Linked DNA regions of Caenorhabditis elegans. The protein of the gene in region 2 purifies or fractionates together with the protein of the main gene of each other region. This does not show direct contact. Each region holds a gene or a part of one and is shown on either strand. Other genes may lie near its edges. The genes, in order: C47B2.2, rsd-6 and W07G4.2.

Region 1 (5,363 bases), 4.6 Mb from region 2:
TCAAATTCGTCACTTCCTCTTCCCATAAAGTCAAAATCCAGTTTGAACTCTTCAATTTGGGCACTTGGAAGCTTCATAACCACGAACAATTTTCTGAGAGCAAACTGTAGTCTTTTATTGTAGATGGTTCTTCTTTCATCATCAGCCACGACCGGATGGAAAGGTCCGAAGGATTGATTTCCATTGATATCAATGGTGTGAAAAGTGCCCTCAATAGAAACATCAATGTCCAATTTGAGGTGCTGGCTGTCGACGAAATCTCGAAGATTTCGATTGGAATTGCGGACGGAAATCCTGAAACTCATTTGGTTTTTTTTTAACATTTGCCTAACATTCAAAATTTGATACCAATCGTATGGATCCACTTTCTTCATAACTTTCTCCATAACATCAACTGGCATGCTTAAAAGCGTAAGTGGTCTTTTCTTCGATCTGAAAATAAGCAAATTTTAAACTGAATCCGATGCAAATTTCATTTTAACACTAACAATTTAATCGATCCAGTTTCTTTGTCATTTCGACAATTCCACGAGATGAGCCAGTCATTTTGACAAATTACCTGAAAAATAGGAAATTTATTTGATTGATTCAGTTTTCAATCGTTTGAAGTGAAGAAAACAATAAGAAAATACGGATAAAGTGAAATATCTTTGTAAAATACGTTACCTAACGGTAAAATAACAAATTTTCCAGTAAATTTCGTGAAAACTGAAAATTTCTTTTCTGTCTAATAAATTTTCACAAATAAAAATCACAAAAACGACAGGAAAAATGCAAAAACTATGTTTGAAATTTTGAAAATCCAAAAACAATAAACTAGGAATTCTGTGCGTCAAATGAGATGCCCGGTACGCAAGTTGCGTACTCCGAGAACTACCGTAGTTTCGGAAACTTTTTTTGAAACGGCTAATTTTAACTTATTTTATTTTCAGAATATAATGAAAAAAAAACAATTTGCATGCAAAGTAGCAAATAGAATTTGAAATAAAACGTTTATTTTCGTAAAATTTCTTAAATTTGCAGTGAAAATCCAAAAAATGAGGAAAAATCTCACTCTCAACTTTGCGCGTAAAATATAGCGCCCTGTACGCACACCATGTACTCAGAAAATGACTACCGTAGTCATTGCATCTTAAAATAATGTTTAATGAACCGAAAACAACACAAAAGAATTTAGTTATGCGGAAATTCAATGAACATTTTGTCAAAAAAAAATAGGGGAAATCAACAGTGAAAAAGTAAAAAAGAAGACTACAATAACTACAAACTACAAACCAATAACGAGAAATGAAGAGATGATCAAGTGAGAAAAGTGAATAAAAATACTGCATTTGAAACGGAAACGATGTAGTTTGTAGTGTCAAAAGGCTACAAACTACACAAAACTAGTCTAGACAGCACCAAAATAGCTGGTTGAGAAATGATTTGGATAGAGAGATGTGATATCGGAGGCGACGACAGTGATATACGGGTACTTTCTGGTTATATTCTTGAGTCCAGTCGGTGAGATGAATAGGGAAACCAAGTAGATATTCTCATCTGGGACACGTGCCTCTTTTAGGACTTCAATTGCCTTGCAAACTGTCGTCCCAGATCTGAAAAATTGGAAATTTTGATAAAAATGTGATTTTTTAAATTTAAATGTTTCTTCAGTTAAAAAAATTTCAAAAAAAGATTTTTTTTGCACAAAAAAAAACTCAATTTTTTAGACAATTTTTCGCCTTCTGGGGAAGTTTTAGTGATCGACATTTTTAAAGTTTCTACGTCAAACAAATTATTGAATTTTACGATTTTTCGCCGGGAAAATCGATTTTTTGACATTAAATTTTGTGTTTTTTTTCTCAGATTTTTCAATCAAATTTATTTCGGCCAGATATTTTTTGTAGTTTGTAGTCTCTGAGCGTACCCTATCGTTGGGTAGAGCAGTAGAACTCGACGCGACGTGATATCCGGAAGAAGCCTGGCGTAGAGCACTTTTTGTTCGTCGCCTGTAACAAAAAGTGGATGAAAATTGGAAATTTTGCGAGTTTTGAGGTTTTTCTTTTAAAAAAGTATCGCCAGTTTTCGACAAACTCAGTAAAACTCACGATTTCTACCACTTTTCTGGGTAAAAACGCAAATTTTACTATTATATATATTTTTAATATATTTTTCAGGAATTTTACCATAAGAACAGTACATATTTATTACAGATTTAAAAAAAAAAACATTTTTCGGCTGAAAAAACGAGTTTCTCTACGAATTAGAGGTATTTTTGAAGGAAAAGTCAGACTTTTCACAGATTTTGAGGGGTATTCAGGAGAAAATCTATAAAAACTGGATATTCACCAGATTTTTCCATTTTTCAAGCAGAAATCTGCATTTATAAGAGATTCCAGGTAATTTCAGGGAGAAATTGATGAAAATCGCAATGATTTTGGTGATTTTTCGCCATTTTCTTCTATATTTCTCAATTTTCTTCGCCTTTTCTAGGAAATTTCCCAAATTCCTCTCGATATCCTCAATTTCCCGTACCAATCAGAATTTTTCCAATTCGAATACACCGACAACACTGTCTCAATGAAACTTCCATCGCCTCTCCACTTCTACACAACGATACTCCACAATTTCCACGATTAAATTGAATTCCTTCATATTTGAAGCCTGTTGGTGTGGTAACTGTGTGCTCAGTGAATGGAAGATGATTGAGACATTCTTCAATTACAAGCCGCATCAGACGATCCGCGTTGAATACGAAATCCGAGTGATTTGTTGATCTGGAAATTGGAAGATGGTTGAGGCTATGGGGCTACAAACTACAAACTACAAGATTCTCTGAGCCTCAACCAATTTTTACAAGGAAAACTTCTAAAATTGCGAGGAAATCACGAAAAATACCGTTTCGGACCCGGAAATTTATGAAAATATCGGAATTTTGACTCAAAATCCGAGAAAATCCTTGAAAAATTCATTTATATAAATAAATATATTCATGTTTTCTAACAAAAAAAAACGTTTTTTAATCAAAATTTCAGTTAATTTCACGGCAAAAAGGCCAAAAAATGAAAACGTTTTCTATTTTTCTCCTAATTTACTGGCAAAATCGCTTAAAATGCCGTTTCTGACCCGAAAATTTGTGAATTAACGGATTTTTAAAATCTAAATTCCAAGAAAATCGCTTTTTAAGGCAAAAAAGGAGTTTATTTAAAATCAACAAGTTTTTCCGGCAAAAATACCGAAAATCGTTAATTTTTCCGCAAAATCTGGAAAAAGAGCTTGGAAATATGAGTTTTCAGCCCCTTTCTTTAAATTTTCACCCATAAAATGTTTGAGGCTTCAGTCTATTCCCAGTCAAACTTCATACCTATCTTTCAAAATTGTCTGCAATTCAAGTATCTGTGGAGTCTTCTTCAAAAGAACAAAATTTGTTCCCTTCTCTTTCAGATTTGCCACCAACTGCCCGACACCGTCTTCCTCATCACCAACCTTTGGAATCACTGGAGCACATGTTCCATTCACATGCCCAGCCATTTCTGTAATCTAATACTGATCGATGAGCAGAACAAGCGTCTGCTGCTCAAATACTGTCGGCTTGTACATGTTTGCTCTGCGGCACTCAACTCGGTATAAACGTAAAGTGTTCCGACTTTCATTCTTTCTCTTTTTAACAAAAAACATTATATAAATAAAATACTTCATAATACATTGTTTATGACGATCGAACTGCAGTAATAAATTAAAAGTCAATCGCCAGGCAGTTGATTGTGGGAGCATCTAGTACTCCTCTCCCTCCTCTTCTCCTCCCTCGTTGGAGTCAGCTCCGACCTCTTCGTAGTCCTTCTCGAGAGCAGCCAAGTCCTCACGAGCCTCGGTGAACTCTCCTTCCTCCATACCTTCTCCGACGTACCTGAAAAGAAACACATTGAATATTTGAAAAGTATAGTTTAACGGGCAACATACCAGTGGACGAAGGCACGCTTGGCGTACATCAAGTCGAACTTGTAGTCGAGACGAGACCAGGCCTCAGCGATGGCGGTAGTGTTGGAGAGCATGCAGACGGCGCGTGGCACCTTGGCAAGATCACCTCCTGGCACAACAGTTGGTGGCTGGTAGTTGATTCCGACCTTGAATCCGGTTGGGCACCAATCGACGAATTGGATGGTTCTCTTGGTCTTGATTGCAGCGATGGCGGTGTTAACGTCCTTTGGAACGACGTCTCCTCTGTACAAGAGGCACACAGCCATGTACTTTCCGTGACGTGGATCACACTTGACCATCTGGTTAGCCGGCTCGAAGCAGCTATTGGTGATGTCGCTGACGGACAGAGCCTCGTGGTAGGCCTTCTCAGCAGAGATGAGTGGAGTGTAGGCGGCCAATGGGAAGTGAATTCTTGGGTATGGCACCAAGTTGGTCTGGAACTCGTTGAGATCAACGTTGAGGGCTCCATCGAATCTCAAGGAAGCAGTGATTGAGGAGACAACCTGTAAAAAGAGAACATTAGAATACAACAATCAAATTGAGCTCAACAAACCTGGGAGATGATTCTGTTGAGGTTGGTGTAGCTTGGTCGCTCAACATCCAAGTTTCTGCGGCAGATGTCGTAGATGGCCTCGTTATCGACCATGAAGGCGCAGTCGGAGTGCTCCAAGGTGGTATGGGTGGTGAGGATCGAGTTGTATGGCTCAACGACGGCGGTTGAGACCTGTGGAGCTGGGTAGATGGAGAACTCGAGCTTGGACTTCTTTCCGTAGTCGACGGAAAGACGTTCCATAAGAAGCGAAGTGAATCCGGATCCGGTACCTCCTCCGAAGGAGTGGAAGACGAAGAATCCTTGGAGTCCACTGCAGTTATCAGCGAGACGACGGATCCTGTCGAGGACGGTGTCGATGAGCTCCTTTCCGACGGTGTAGTGTCCACGAGCGTAGTTGTTAGCGGCGTCTTCCTTTCCGGTGATCATCTGCTCTGGATGGAAGAGCTTCTTGTAGGTTCCAGTGCGAATCTCGTCAACGACAGTTGGCTCGAGATCGACGAAGATGGATCTTGGAACGTAACGGCCGGATCCGGTGTCTGAGAAGAAAGTGGTGAACGACTCTCCCTCGTTCGTTGATTGAGTTGGCATGGTTCCATCGGGCTGGATTCCGTGCTCGAGGCAGTAGAGCTCCCAGCAGGCGTTTCCGATTTGGACTCCGGCTTGTCCGACGTGGATAGAGATGACCTCACGCATTTTCTTTTCTGAAAAAGAAAATTATAAAGTTTTAAAAGAGAAAGACAATTGTTATATGAGAACGAAACGATTGCGGTGAGAGCAGAGACGAAAGTGAGCCCAAATAGGGCCGAGAACGCACGAGCGCGCGCGCTCTCTCAACATAGCCCAACATCGGACA
Region 2 (8,581 bases):
ATTTCTCATAGACGATCCAATAATTCGAATTTTTTAATTTTCAGGTGGTGATATGGCAAAGCTTCAACGTGCCGTGTGCATGTTGTCAAATACAACAGCAATACAAGAAGCATGGGCTCGTCTTGATCATAAATTTGATTTAATGTACGCAAAAAGAGCATTTGTTCATTGGTATGTTGGAGAAGGAATGGAAGAAGGTGAATTCTCTGAAGCAAGAGAAGATATGGCTGCATTGGAAAAAGATTATGAAGAAGTTGGAGTTGATTCATTCGATCCAAATGATGAAGAATATTAGGATATTCAAACATTTTAAGACAGACAATTTTATTCATTATATTTTTCGCAATTTTCTGAGAAACCTTCTTAAAGGCACAAGGGTTCATTTGGATGGATCTCGCCGCGAAACAAGAGTTTATAGTTGTATTTTTCGATCTTTTCGGGGCCGTTTTTCAAAAAACAAAAACGTTGGACATGAGATATTTATAGAAACGTACTACAGGAAAATGAATAAACGGGAACTGAACGTTTTTTAGTCGGACTTTCCTAACTTTTCTCGTGGCCAGACCTTTCCGAATATATCCGTGCGCCTCTAAATACGCGTTTCAGAAAACTGCGAAATTATGAACTTTACATTTTTGTCTAGATTTACCGATTTAACCTGATCTCAGAACCTCTATATTTCTTACTTATGTTATCTCATGTATATTGTTTGATGTGAATAAATACTCAAAAAGTTTATACTTCCAAGAATTGAAGAAAAAACGGTCAGAACAATGGGCTCAGCATTTGTGTGAGAAGGGGGTTAAGAAAAGGAATAACGGTATGGAGTTTCGAAATGTCCTTTGAGAGTGAAAGGGTGAACAGAAAGCAAGTTGAGCGATGGGCAGAAACGTTGCAGCTTTTAGACGGAATTTCTGAAATTCGGATATACATTCCAAACTACTATAAGGAAAAGTATGGGATCAAAACAAATAGAAAAACGTTAGTTGGGAAAAAATGGGGGAATTCTGCATTTTTGACAGGAATCATAGATGATCGTACATAACACCACAACAGTAGAAAACGGGCATAAAACAAAAAAAATCTCGAAGTCTTGAAACATCGTTTCGGCAAAAAAGTAAAGAAATTTGTGAAATGAGTGTTTCGGTCCGTTTCTACGACAACATTTAGATAGAAACATGATTTGAAGTTCAGATAAAGACGTCTTTGATATTCGTCAAGGGTCCACCGTGGCATGTAGAGAATAACTTTATTGGATATGTGAGGATCCCGTCCTGAAATTTTAAAAATTTATTTTTTCCATTCTTTGAAAGTTTCAAACGTGGAGTATACAGTCTAGTGGGGATTGCTTTAATTGATGGAAAATGTACTGTAATGACAAAATATAATTGTGTAAAAAATTATAATCTTTAGTGCTCTAATTTTGAGATTTTTGCGTTTTCTAGATAGATTCATCGGGGATTCTAGACATTTTCTCCGATATTTAATTTGTAACACCGTTTTTCAAATTTACAGGAAAAAACTATCGATTAAGCCTATTTTTGAATTAGTCAGAAAACGCAAAAAAGCCAAAATTAGGTTTTTTTTTATTTATTTGCGCCGGAGTTGAACAATAATTGGCACATTCTTCCATTTTAGCAAAATTGAAAAAAAATTGTTTTTTAATGGAGTACTTCCAAAAAATTAAAGTTGTTTTTCTTTCATTTAAAGCTAAATCCCAACGTCTCAATTAAATTTTGGCAACTTAACGGAAATTTTATTAAAAATAATGGTACACCTAAATGATTAAAAACCCTTACAGAGGCTGTTGCGGCTCCGCTGCAAGTAACACTGAGATTTCCAGGACCATTGGATAAATATTCCTTTCCACCAAATTCAATATTATCCTTGTCATCCTCTGATTCATCGAGAGTGCAAGGAATTGCAAATGGTGGTAGTTTTGCAAACTTTTGCGGCATTAATCTCAAATCGGAACTTGGTACAACTTTTCGGAATCCACTGTCCAGAATGAACAGAAAAATGAGCTGAAAGTAAACGGATGAGAAAATCGAAACCTATACAATCTATTTATTACCTGCGTCTCTATTTTTATGATCATGGCACGACTCCATTTGAGAATAGTTGTTGAATCATTCAATTGTACTAAACACGCATGATTTGGTCTCCACATTTCAAATGGCACGCTCTTTTCATTTCGAATTTGAGACATGAAGTCTCTGAAATTAAAAATATTGAATTCTGATTAAAAGTAGAGATGTTCCAAGAGTGGATTTTCGTAGATTTTCGATGATTTTAAATACATATATGAGCCCATTCCTGAACATCATCAAAAGTCTGAGAATGTCCAGTTTTGGAGCGACTCGGAATAACTTGAAAGTAGCGAAATCAATTAATTTTAATATTTTCGATCGAAATTTCAGGGAGTCACAGTTGAGCAACGTTTTAATCAGAAAATAATGTACTTGAAGAGTAAGAGTAAAACTCACTGAATCTCTTGATTCATCTTTTCATATGGTTTTATATACTCCTCAGGACGGACTGCAAACTTTTGAACATTTTGATATCGAACAATTCCACACTTGACAAGTGCATTTGCCGGTACATTTTCAAAGATTTTATGTTCAAAAGAAGTTTGATAGAATTCAGGTGCATCGCCGACAGTTGTGATTTTTGAAATCTTGAGCACTTCTGAAAATTAATTTCTTTAGATATTTGCATATACGGGAACACTGAATTCTGAAAATGCGTATCGCGCAAAATATCTCGTAGCGTAAACTACAGTAATCCTTCAGGTGATTACTGAAGCGCTGGTCCGATTTTGTATTGTTTTTATCATTTATTGATGAAACATTTTAAAACAGCCTCCAGTTGACAAAAAACTACAAACATTACAGGAGAATAAAATTTCGCTGTCACAATTCGAAAAGATACCGTATTTTCTCTATTAGTCTTGAACCCCAGTTTTATCCTGGCCAGCTATACTATGAGGAAACTTCAAAAATTTTTTATTTTTAGATAAATTGAACTTGAAAGTGATTAAATAACTTATGAAATATTGAAAAGGAATGCTTATTCATGGCTTAAACGGTATAAAGTTAAGTTTTCAGCAAAACTTGGTAACTTTTCCAAAGTTATTGGGCTTTCGAAAATTAGTCTTGCAGCCTCTAATAGTCCTGCACCCCTACGGGTTGATTGAAAATTAGTCTTGCATGCAAGACTAATAGAGGAAATACGGTATTCACTTTCGAACATGTAAATCGACATCCGTGCTACAGTAGTAATTTTTAATAATTACTGTAGTTTTCGCTACGAGATATTTTGCGCGTCAGATACACTGTGCAATACGCATTCGCAGAATTTAATGTTTTCGTAATAATAAAATTGAATTACCAGTCTTACTCCCCGACGCATAACGATATTCTCCTTCGAATGTGATGAATAATACATATGTCAGTTTTTCACAAGTACGTTCCATTCTGACTCCAGTAGCATTCGACAATCTTTCAGCTTCATCAGTGACTCTAAATCGAGCCTTATCCAACATTTTGACGTAATCAACAACATAATAATGAAGGTCATCTTCCATATATTCATGAATTGGTGAATCTGTGGTAACTGCTGCCTCGTTCCAAGTCAGGTCGCCCTGAAATATATTTATATTGGAAAATCATATTAATTTCCAAAAGTTTCCAGAGTTTTCATTAATAGTAACGCTTAATGTAAATCTTTTAAAAAATGTTGAGCTATTTCTCGGAAAATCTTATTTTTGTCGAATTTTTGGAAAAACGTAAAATTTATAAACAGACGCCCTAAGCCCTATACAAAAAGCCCTACACATTTTATTATTTTCGTACGAAAAAAATTTTTTTAAGCAATTTTTCCACTTTACGCTAATTTTCGTTCGGATCTTAATCAAGTTTTTTAGAATTTCATGCTAGCCGTTGAAAAACTTACGGTTTCAGTGTCAATAGTCAAAGCGGAAAGCAATTTAGGCATTATTTTCTTGAGATCCTTCAAGAAGTCTTCCTTCTCCTTACCGTTCTTTCCAGGTATTCTACAAGAAATTTATTATTATCTGTTGATTTCAAAAAAATCTTACAAAATTTTGTTCTTCCTTTCTATTTCGTCGAATAAATTTTCCAGTGACAATTTTTCGCCTTCGTTTAGTTTTTTCATGATCTTCCGAACGGCCTTTGCAATCTTCTTTGATAAAACATCACTAGAGGCTACTGATTCCAATGGTTGTGGTTGTACATTGATAGACGACGAATTGAATCTCCGAGCAAGATCAGCAAGATCAGGTGATGAAGCATCTGGACGAGAACGTCGTTCTGTATTTGATTCTGCATTTGTGTCACTGGAGAATTGTGAGTAATCGGAAATATTCGATCCACGAGAAGACGGTCTTCCTGGTTGCTCATTGCGGCGTGGCGAAGAGTAACGAGTCGAATCTGGAAAATTAAAATAAAAAGTGTGCGCCTTTAAATAGTATCGTAATTTTAGACTTCCATTTCTGCGGATTTTTCAATTTTTCATAAATTTTTTGACATGAACAAAATGTTTGAAGACTTTTATGATTTTCAGTAAAATACACTTTTAAAAATATTTTAAGAAGATATGAAAACATTATAAATAAAACTGAAATCATTTTTCGGTTAACAATTTAATAAATAAATATCCAACCTCTATCACCATTATATCCATCACGAGAGTCTGGACGTCCTCTTATGTCTCCATAATTGTTTCCGCGTCGTGGAGAAGGGTCTCTATATGGTGTCCTCATGATCATCTTCTCATGATGATCTTCTCGTCGAGGTGGTTGGTTTGAGCTGATAAATTGTGAAATTTATCGAATAAGAAGAGTTTTGAAACGCTCAGTCAATTTTCAGAAGAACGGACACTACGTGAATTTTTTAGATAATTTTTGAACACCTCTGAAGGGGTACAGATTTAATTTATATATATTTTTATTTTTTTGAAATATATATCCTTATTAAGGGGTCAGTTCGCCAGTTTTCAAGAATTTTTCGTTTTTTTCAAGAATTTTTTTGCCAAAAACGCGAAAAATACGGAAATCCGTTTGGAAAAATTAATTTCTCTGCGTTAGGAAAAAATACAAAAAGGTAGAAAACGCCTGGAAAATAACAGATTTTCAAAATAAAATTCTGAAGAAAACAGCACCGCGGCTTTGCAAAATTCTCTGATCGCTAGTTCTGGAGCCGCCACAGTAAAAAAGCTTACAATCTGCTATTCGAGCCGTTGTTCGACGCCAGCACGTTTCTGGAAACAGGATAATGAAGGCCTGTCATTTTCGAATAATCATTTGATGGATTAGGTTGTGAAATATTCAGATTTGGACGGAATGATGATCCATGATTGCCTGCTGGTGGACGATGATGACCACGGTGAGCCGGTGCACCTAAAAAAGTTCATTATTTCAAATAGATTAAGAATAATTATTCCGAAAATAATTGCAAAAAACCGTTAAGGATAATGCTAACTTTGTCTAAATCCATGCGTTTGATTGTGATTTCTTGGAATTCCACCACTACGTGCTCGATTGAAACTTGGAAGATTTGATCCACCTCTCGCCGAACGTTTTCCACCTTTTCCCGATTTCTTATCACTAATCGATTCGGCTAACTGTTGGAAAGCATGATTGTTTTGATTAAGTCTCCAATTTCTATTTCCACAATTTATGAACTTATCGGGATGACGTAAGAGCAAATCACTGAGACTCAATCTCAATCCTTGCAGTTCTTCGTTTGTTTGACCTTTTCCTTCGATTTGGCTGAAAATTCCAAATTTCCTTTCTGCAGAAAAGATTCAATAACTTTGGTATTATCCAGATGCGGAAATTTTGTGATTTTCGTCTTAAAAATACGGACCGAGGTCTCGACACGATTGCTTTTCATTATGCAAAAGAGCAGTATTGACGTTATCAACAGGGATATCCTGTTTTGTTCTTTCTGACAGAAAAACAAAAATAAAATTGGCCCAAGTTCAGAAGCGATAAATTTTTAAAAAATTATTTTTTGTTCCAAAGTTTTGAATCCAAAAAAACTTTTATTTGAGTGACAGCCGCACACTCTTTTGTAATTAGAAAATATTTGAATAAAATCGATCGCGTCGGGACAGGTAATCGTATTTTTAGAGCACATTTTTCAAAATATTTTGCATCGGAATAATTTAAAAAAAATAAAATCATACTCGACAAGAGGGCAGATTTCGCTCTCATGTACCATCTTTCCCATGGCCTTAGCCATGAGACCTCCAAAAACAGAATCCGCCAGCTCTTTTTCATTCATGTCGAGTTAGAAACCTGCTGAAAAAGTGTCCTTTGGAAACATTAATGAAAAAAAAATATATAATGAATCTGTTGCAAACAGTTCTTAGACAAACAAAAAATTATGAATTAAACAAGCAATATATATATTTCATTGGGTTTGAACACAAAATGAGATCAATAGATAATAAGAGCCAAAATGCCGCATAAATAACACGCAATGAATGATTTTTGTGTCTGTCCTGTCAGTTGTAAATTGGCGAAGACGAAACGCGAATCACTGTGAAGTATCAAATTCTGAGTGGTAAAATATCAAAAATTTGAATAAAATTAAAAAGTAAAAAGATAAACTAGACGAAGCGATAAAATTGAAAAATATGTCAACAAGCGTTATAGGATCACAATTAAAATATCAATTTTTCTGAAATTCCAGCGACTGCCTGTTTCAGTACATTATCATTTTCATCCTGCCAATTTGTTGTAGCAAGAACCTCTAATACTTCATCATCTGATTCCTCGGCACAGCAAAGATGCTCGTAGAGTCTCTCGGCGGCAGATTTACGAAGAACTGGTTGTTGGCTGTTAAGAGTGTCAAGGATCTGAAAAAAGAAATTATGGGTTATAGTTCGACAAAAACCTCGACTTCTGTCACATACCATAGTTAATGCAGATCTGTATACTGTACTTTTCTTCCCACAATTCAACAATTCTCCAAGTGAATCAATCGATAGCCTCTGACGTGACATCATTGATGATCTAACTGCGATTGTTTTCATTGTATCCACCATCTCAATAATTGATTCAGACGTTTCTGGACATTGTTCATAAATTCCAAGATTTCCAAATATTTGTGGTAGAATTTGCATGAAACTGTTCCCAATTCGGTTCACTTTACGAGCTCGTTGAAAAAGATCAGCACATGTCGATAGAAAATGATCGAATCTCTGAATTAATACGAATAGAGTTAACTAAATTATCATTAAAAATTGTTTAGACAAAATTTGAGATAACTCAGAAAAAACTCTGCCAATGTGAATAAAAACAAACGAGTTTCTAAAATCACATAAAATTTTGTTGCATCTTTGAAATGTTAGAGATTTATTTATTTTCACAAAAACTCACCGGTTTATTCTCACAAATTTCTCTTTGATGATCTAAAAGCAATTGCTTTGCAGTTTTCTGAGTTCCTTCTGCCAATCCACCTGCTGATACAACAATACCCAATATTAATTGTTCATAATACTCGGATCCAAGATCTAAAAGAGGTTTCAACTGAAAAACAGTTCGATCGGATATAAAATCCATTGGCTCTGAATAAATGTTCATGAGAAGATCAATATGTGGAAGACAGCGACCCGTTATTTCGCATTTGACGAGCGATTTCAGGCAGGCACAGGCACACTGAAAATGAGCAAATTTTGTGGATATTCTAAACTTTAAGGCAGCCGTACCTCTCTAGTTCGTGAAATTCGTTCTGCACTCTGTTGAACCATATATTTTGCAGATTTGATGACATGTTCATCTAGGAATGGTGGCTCCGTTTTCGCATCAACCAAAATTGTTGACATGGCACGCATACTGGCTTCCCGAACCTGAAATAGGCACAAAATTAGAATGTAGCGCAGAATGGTGGAAGCGATAATTTTGTACTACTTTAAAAGATAGCTCTATATAGCTCGAAAATATGCGTTTATAATTGTTTTTGAAAAATTCTCAAACTTTATATAACAGTACAAAAAAATCAGGAGGAAATTCCAGGACTGAACGCTCAAAATACTTTTAATCTCGCTAATGTACTTTTATAATTATAACATTAACGAATAAGATAAGAGTTTTTCCTTCTTTTCAAACTCACAAATCGTCCAATATCTCCATTTGCACTTGTTGTATAATCTGTCATAGCCTTGTACAATGTCTCAAAACATTTTTGCCCAATTCGATTAAATGTTTCAGTTGATGAATTCACTGAAATCCGATTAAGTGCAAATACAGTTTGTTGTCTAGCAAGTGCCCACTTTGCATCTGACGATGTTGGTCTGCAATTTGTTTCTGAAATTAAAAGTTTCTGTTTGCTACAACATACGTCAGAATAGTATTGCAAAGCGATTCGAACATCTCATAATCGACTGCTTCAGAGTTTAACGATTCACAAATCATTCCCATTCCGATTCTTTCACTTTCATCCGAGCATTTTGTCATCTGAAAATCTACTTTTACAAAAAAATTTTGCAAAACGAGATTTTTTGTATAACCAGAACTATTTCTGGATATCACTTTCCAACATCGGTATTGTAA
Region 3 (4,786 bases), on a different chromosome or scaffold from region 2:
GATGGAATCGAGTTTAGATGACATCGGCTAATTATTATTATTGCAAAACTAATACAATTTTCAAATAAATTATTTTATTACATTGAATTGTTATAACTTCCAACATTATCAAGAAAAACTCAAAAAGCCATTCCATTTTCATTGATTGTCGGCCAGAGCATTGGTCCCATGTTTCTCACATTCATACAGAAGTTATCAGAATGAGTCTGAAAACATTAACTTAGTTTTAAAGTTGAAGATAGTTCAGTTGATAGTACCTTACAAACACCTTCATTTGCGAGAACACTAACACAACGACAATATTCATTATTACATGCTTCCATTGTTGCCTTTTTATATACATAACACCAACCATGGGCGAGGCAACAAGTTCGATGTTGTTCTGAAAATATTGCTCACTTACAAGGGTTCACTCTTGCTGATCACTTACCTAAAATGGCGGGACAGTCCAATTTGATCGAAATCTCCATCCAATTTGTTAGAATTGGATCAATTCCACACATTAATCGACATTTTGCAATTCCAAAAAGTGATACCAAAAGTAGAACGAATTTCATTTTTATGAATACTTTCTAGCTGTTTTCCTTTTTATATTACAAGTTAGTAGAAATTAGGTCAATTTAGTCTACTCTAATGGTCATAACAACTGTCAAGCTTCATATTGTAAACGATTCATTGAAGTGGAAAATGCGGTGAAGTTCTGGGATTTGTAAAGCTAAACTTTCGGATAGAAAAAACTTTTCAAAACTATCTGACACTTTCAACAATCGTTAAATTATCACAAGAAAACTTTAGTGGTGTCCAATTCGGCATAAAATAATCATATGGGCTCAGCTCTCCAATTCTCTGAAATTTTACATGTTATAGTTTCATGTACGGCTATTTACTGACAAAACTGAAATCATTGGTTTCTCTTATATCCATATAGAAAACCTCATTTCCTTTAGAGAAATATCCCATCCACCAGCCAAATGTTGAGTGAGGAGCTGAATCATATGTATACAATTTCAATTTGATATTTAATTCATACCACTTATTAAAACCGTATCACAGTGATCTCTTGAATAAATCAAATCATCGGATGGAGAGTTATGAGATATGAAGTGTCTTGTGTTTGAACCTTGGAGAATCGAATATTTGAAAATGGATTTCATAAACTTGAAATCATCTCCAAATAAGACAATGCGAGATTTTAAATTTTCTAGGGCTTCTAAAAAATGTTTCAGTTGTTTTTTAAATGATTTTTTTCAAAAATTATATACTTTTCTTTTCAATAAACTCAACCGCCCGTCTGACAAAAGTCGGATCCGATGCAGCAAAATCACCCCATACAAAGTCTCCTCTTCGTGTGTGTGCACAAATTCTAATAAGTGTTTAATCTACGATAAAAAGTTGAGCGGAAACTAACATGTAGGAGTTATTTTTTGATCTTGGCAACTTTCCGAATTCACTTTTTACATTTGGCTTCAAATATTTGATTAGTTCATGTTGCATTGAAGGGAAATACTTCCAAGACTAAATTTTAGATTTATAATAGCAATAATGTCATTAGAACCTGATAATAGTATCCAGCTAAATGTAAATACTGATCTTCATTATTTTCAAGAATCGTTGGTTCCACGTAGACACAACATCGTGAATTGAAGTTGATGAATTGTGTTGGTGGTGGAACCTTAACAATTTTCAAATTCAACTATATATTATTTTTAAACAAACCGTTCCATAAACAATTTCAAATTGATCTATCAATCCAGGAATAGCTTCTTTCACTTTGTTCAACATATTCAAATAAGTTTTATCTTCCACAAAGAACAAGGATTTACGATGTAGCTGCCTTGACATTCCCAATAAAGCAGCCATTTCAAAAATGTGATTTCCTGAAACTTATTTCTTTAAATTTTATGATTTTTTTCAAATACCTAATCTCATTCCTGCTGCGAGCCTGCTTGAAAGATATTTCTTGTTTTTATTAGAATTGGTGAAATACTCTGAAGTTCTGAAACATTTGAAAATGTCTACAGTTTTATAGAATAAGGCCAAATTTCTGGGTTAAATAGACAAACACCTATTCGGTAGTACGCTTCCGCCTCATGCCTACTTCAAACCTTCCCACTTTATCTACGCACCAAGCGCTTCCCTGCCCCTCTACATACCTCTTATCTGTCTATGTGCCTACCTCAAGCCTACCTATATTTATGTCTTTTTTTATTGTGTCTTGAAATAATTATCGGTGTTTGGACTTACATTGGTAACGTAGTTCTATTGCAAACATTTGTAGATAGAATTATTACTGTAATTGGAAGTTTGAACTTTTGAATGTTCCTATTACCCTACCAGTTAATATCAGAAAAATTACAAATAACCGAGTTTTGAACATTTTCGTAAGAAGTGAGGGTGTTGGTGGTTGAATTTCGGTCATTTAGTAAAGCTGAAAGAAGAAGAGATGAAACAGGAGTAGTTACAAAATGCATGTTTCGATGTTTCGTAATTGATGTGATCCCTTTCCAATACATCGAATCACAGCATGAGTCCAACATGTATGGGCTGCACATTTTTGTCCCAAAAGAACATCAAGTGTAATTTTGTTTTCAAACATACCTCAAGTCTGCCTACGTACCTTCCCATATTTGCCTACGAGCCTATCTCATGCCTACCTACTTGCCTAAACTTTTGTTAGTGTCAAAAATTACCTTTTGCACCACAGCAACACAGCATGGGTCCGACGATTCAATAGTAAAACCAAGTGTACATTTTTTAAAGTTTTATTTTAACCATCATAATTTTTTTGAAAAGAAAGAACATGAAATGCGAGCAATTTTTGTTTGGAAGCGAAGGAAATGAGAAAAAGAAAGAAAAACATGAATAGAATACGTTAATGGATAGAATCACAGGAAATTGTTTGATGTACTTACAAGGGAAGTCTTTGAGGGGGTCCGTAGATTTGGGGTTCTCATGCTAAAATTCCTACAGAAGAGTGTTAGTTATGATCTCTCCAAAAAATTTAGCTGCCCCGGTCAAGTTTCAGCAAAGTTATGACGTTTTGAAAATTCAGTTAAAAACACCATTGAAATCCACTGTCTTACCATGCAGTCCACGCAAATCTCAGCTTGCGTGACCACCGAAAATGTGACACCCACAACATTGAGTTGAAAAATGTCCTCGGTGGCCGAGTTGGGAGTGCGCGCGTCTGATAAGATTTAAGCTTTGGTTCGATTCCTTCTATTTTTGTAAGTTGAATAAAGTTGTAAAACAACTCATTCAAACATTTTTGCGCATTTTTAAAGTGATTTTATTCTTATTCGGGAACCTAGAATCATTGTCCGCACTTTTTGGAAATTTTTATTTTTTTCATTTTTGCTCAAAATTTCTTGATCAACTCCAAGCAAAAAAATCAAAAAATTTCATTTTTCTAAACAATTATGAAATTGCTATGTTGTTGTTCAGAAATGTATGAAACGTACATTACACAAGTTTTAACTCTCTATTCGCAAGTAAACCGTCGAAATGATCTACATCTCACGAACTTTGTGCAAAATATTTAACCAACTTTGAAGTTGCATAACTTCATTGAGATAAATTATTGTGAAAAATGATCAACTAACAAAATGTTTGTTGAATAACAGTGAACAAAGTTTTAGTTATAAACTTTTTGATACCTCCAGCTACAAAGAAGAAAACAAGGTTGGCATTTGGCTAGTTTTTCTATTAACATTGTGTTTTGGAAAACGGTCACAACTTTTTGGTGGCTGAAGGTATCAAAAAGTTTATAACTAAAACTTTGTTCACTGTTATTCAACAAACATTTTGTTAGTTGATCATTTTTCACAATAATTTATCTCAACGAAGTTATGCAACTTCAAAGTTGGTTAAATATTTTGCACAAAGTTCGTGAGATGTAGATCATTTCGACGGTTTACTTGCGAATAGAGAGTTAAAACTTGTGTAATGTACGTTTCATACATTTCTGAACAACAACATAGCAATTTCATAATTGTTTAGAAAAATGAAATTTTTTGATTTTTTTGCTTGGAGTTGATCAAGAAATTTTGAGCAAAAATGAAAAAAATAAAAATTTCCAAAAAGTGCGGACAATGATTCTAGGTTCCCGAATAAGAATAAAATCACTTTAAAAAGGCGCAAAAATGTTTGAATAGGTTGTTTAAAACTTTATTCAACTTACAAAAATATTTCAAAAATAGAAGGAATCGAACCAAAGCCTAAATCTTATCAGACGCGCGCACTCCCAACTCGGCCACCGAGGACATTTTTCAACTCAATGTGGTGGGTGTCACATTTTCGGTGGTCACGCAAGCTGAGATTTGCGTGGATTGCATGGTAAGACAGTGGATTTCAATGGTGTTTTTAACTGAAATTTCAAAACGTCATAACTTTGCTGAAACTTGACCGGGGCAGCTAAATTTTTTGGAGAGATCATAACTAACACTCTTCTGTAGGAATTTTAGCATGAGAACCCCAAATCTACGGACCTCCTCAAAGACTTCCCTTGTTAGGATTTGATACAAATGGGGTCGAATAAAACAGTTTTAATTACAAAAATGTGAAATACAAGTAGGGTGATCTCTACTACAAAACGAAGCGAGTTTCTTGTTACCAGTCAGCAAAATCGTCCATTTTCTTTTCTACAGATGCCAATTTCATTGCTCCGGCAGATTTTTTGCGATCCATTTGTTCTTTGCGACGAGCTTCATTTCTAGCCTGCATCTCGGCTCGACGAGCATCTGGAAAATGAAAAATGCAAGCGGATTGTTATTCTCCAACAACGGTG

The links.
Region 1: the proteins of rsd-6 (region 2) and C47B2.2 fractionate together in Caenorhabditis elegans (co-fractionation; one large-scale study listed by BioGRID). This does not show direct contact.
Region 3: the proteins of rsd-6 (region 2) and W07G4.2 fractionate together in Caenorhabditis elegans (co-fractionation; one large-scale study listed by BioGRID). This does not show direct contact.

Annotation. Positions count from the first base shown.
Region 1 is NC_003279.8:12,961,061-12,966,423, forward strand, and holds C47B2.2 (Phosphoribosyltransferase domain-containing protein), read right to left. Parts: upstream 3,520-5,363; 5' UTR 3,511-3,519; coding exon 3,344-3,510; intron 2,757-3,343; coding exon 2,515-2,756; intron 1,989-2,514; coding exon 1,907-1,988; intron 1,596-1,906; coding exon 1,391-1,595; 3' UTR 982-1,390; downstream 1-981. Other genes in the region: fbxa-140 (F-box domain-containing protein), read right to left, coding at 1-294, 349-401; tba-2 (Tubulin alpha-2 chain), read right to left, coding at 3,754-3,886, 3,940-4,460, 4,511-5,203.
Region 2 is NC_003279.8:8,357,534-8,366,114, forward strand, and holds rsd-6 (Tudor domain-containing protein), read right to left. Parts: upstream 6,326-8,581; 5' UTR 6,309-6,325; coding exon 6,211-6,308; intron 5,792-6,210; coding exon 5,502-5,791; intron 5,420-5,501; coding exon 5,242-5,419; intron 4,830-5,241; coding exon 4,684-4,829; intron 4,452-4,683; coding exon 4,100-4,451; intron 4,055-4,099; coding exon 3,955-4,054; intron 3,644-3,954; coding exon 3,391-3,643; intron 2,689-3,390; coding exon 2,487-2,688; intron 2,217-2,486; coding exon 2,075-2,216; intron 2,025-2,074; coding exon 1,800-2,024; intron 1,275-1,799; coding exon 1,191-1,274; 3' UTR 721-1,190; downstream 1-720. Other genes in the region: tba-5 (Tubulin alpha chain), read left to right, coding at 45-295; tbcd-1 (Tubulin-specific chaperone D), read right to left, coding at 6,691-6,885, 6,943-7,230, 7,409-7,687, 7,738-7,878, 8,142-8,322, 8,370-8,485.
Region 3 is NC_003283.11:13,034,148-13,038,933, forward strand, and holds W07G4.2 (L-Fucosyltransferase), read right to left. Parts: upstream 2,420-4,786; coding exon 2,335-2,419; intron 2,291-2,334; coding exon 2,245-2,290; intron 1,997-2,244; coding exon 1,920-1,996; intron 1,878-1,919; coding exon 1,717-1,877; intron 1,673-1,716; coding exon 1,556-1,672; intron 1,516-1,555; coding exon 1,409-1,515; intron 1,364-1,408; coding exon 1,263-1,363; intron 1,211-1,262; coding exon 1,031-1,210; intron 987-1,030; coding exon 892-986; intron 847-891; coding exon 748-846; downstream 1-747. Other genes in the region: W07G4.1 (FIP (Fungus-Induced Protein) Related), read left to right, coding at 1-17; W07G4.7 (Secretory peptide), read right to left, coding at 120-206, 258-382, 431-557; scyl-1 (Protein kinase domain-containing protein), read right to left, coding at 4,609-4,739.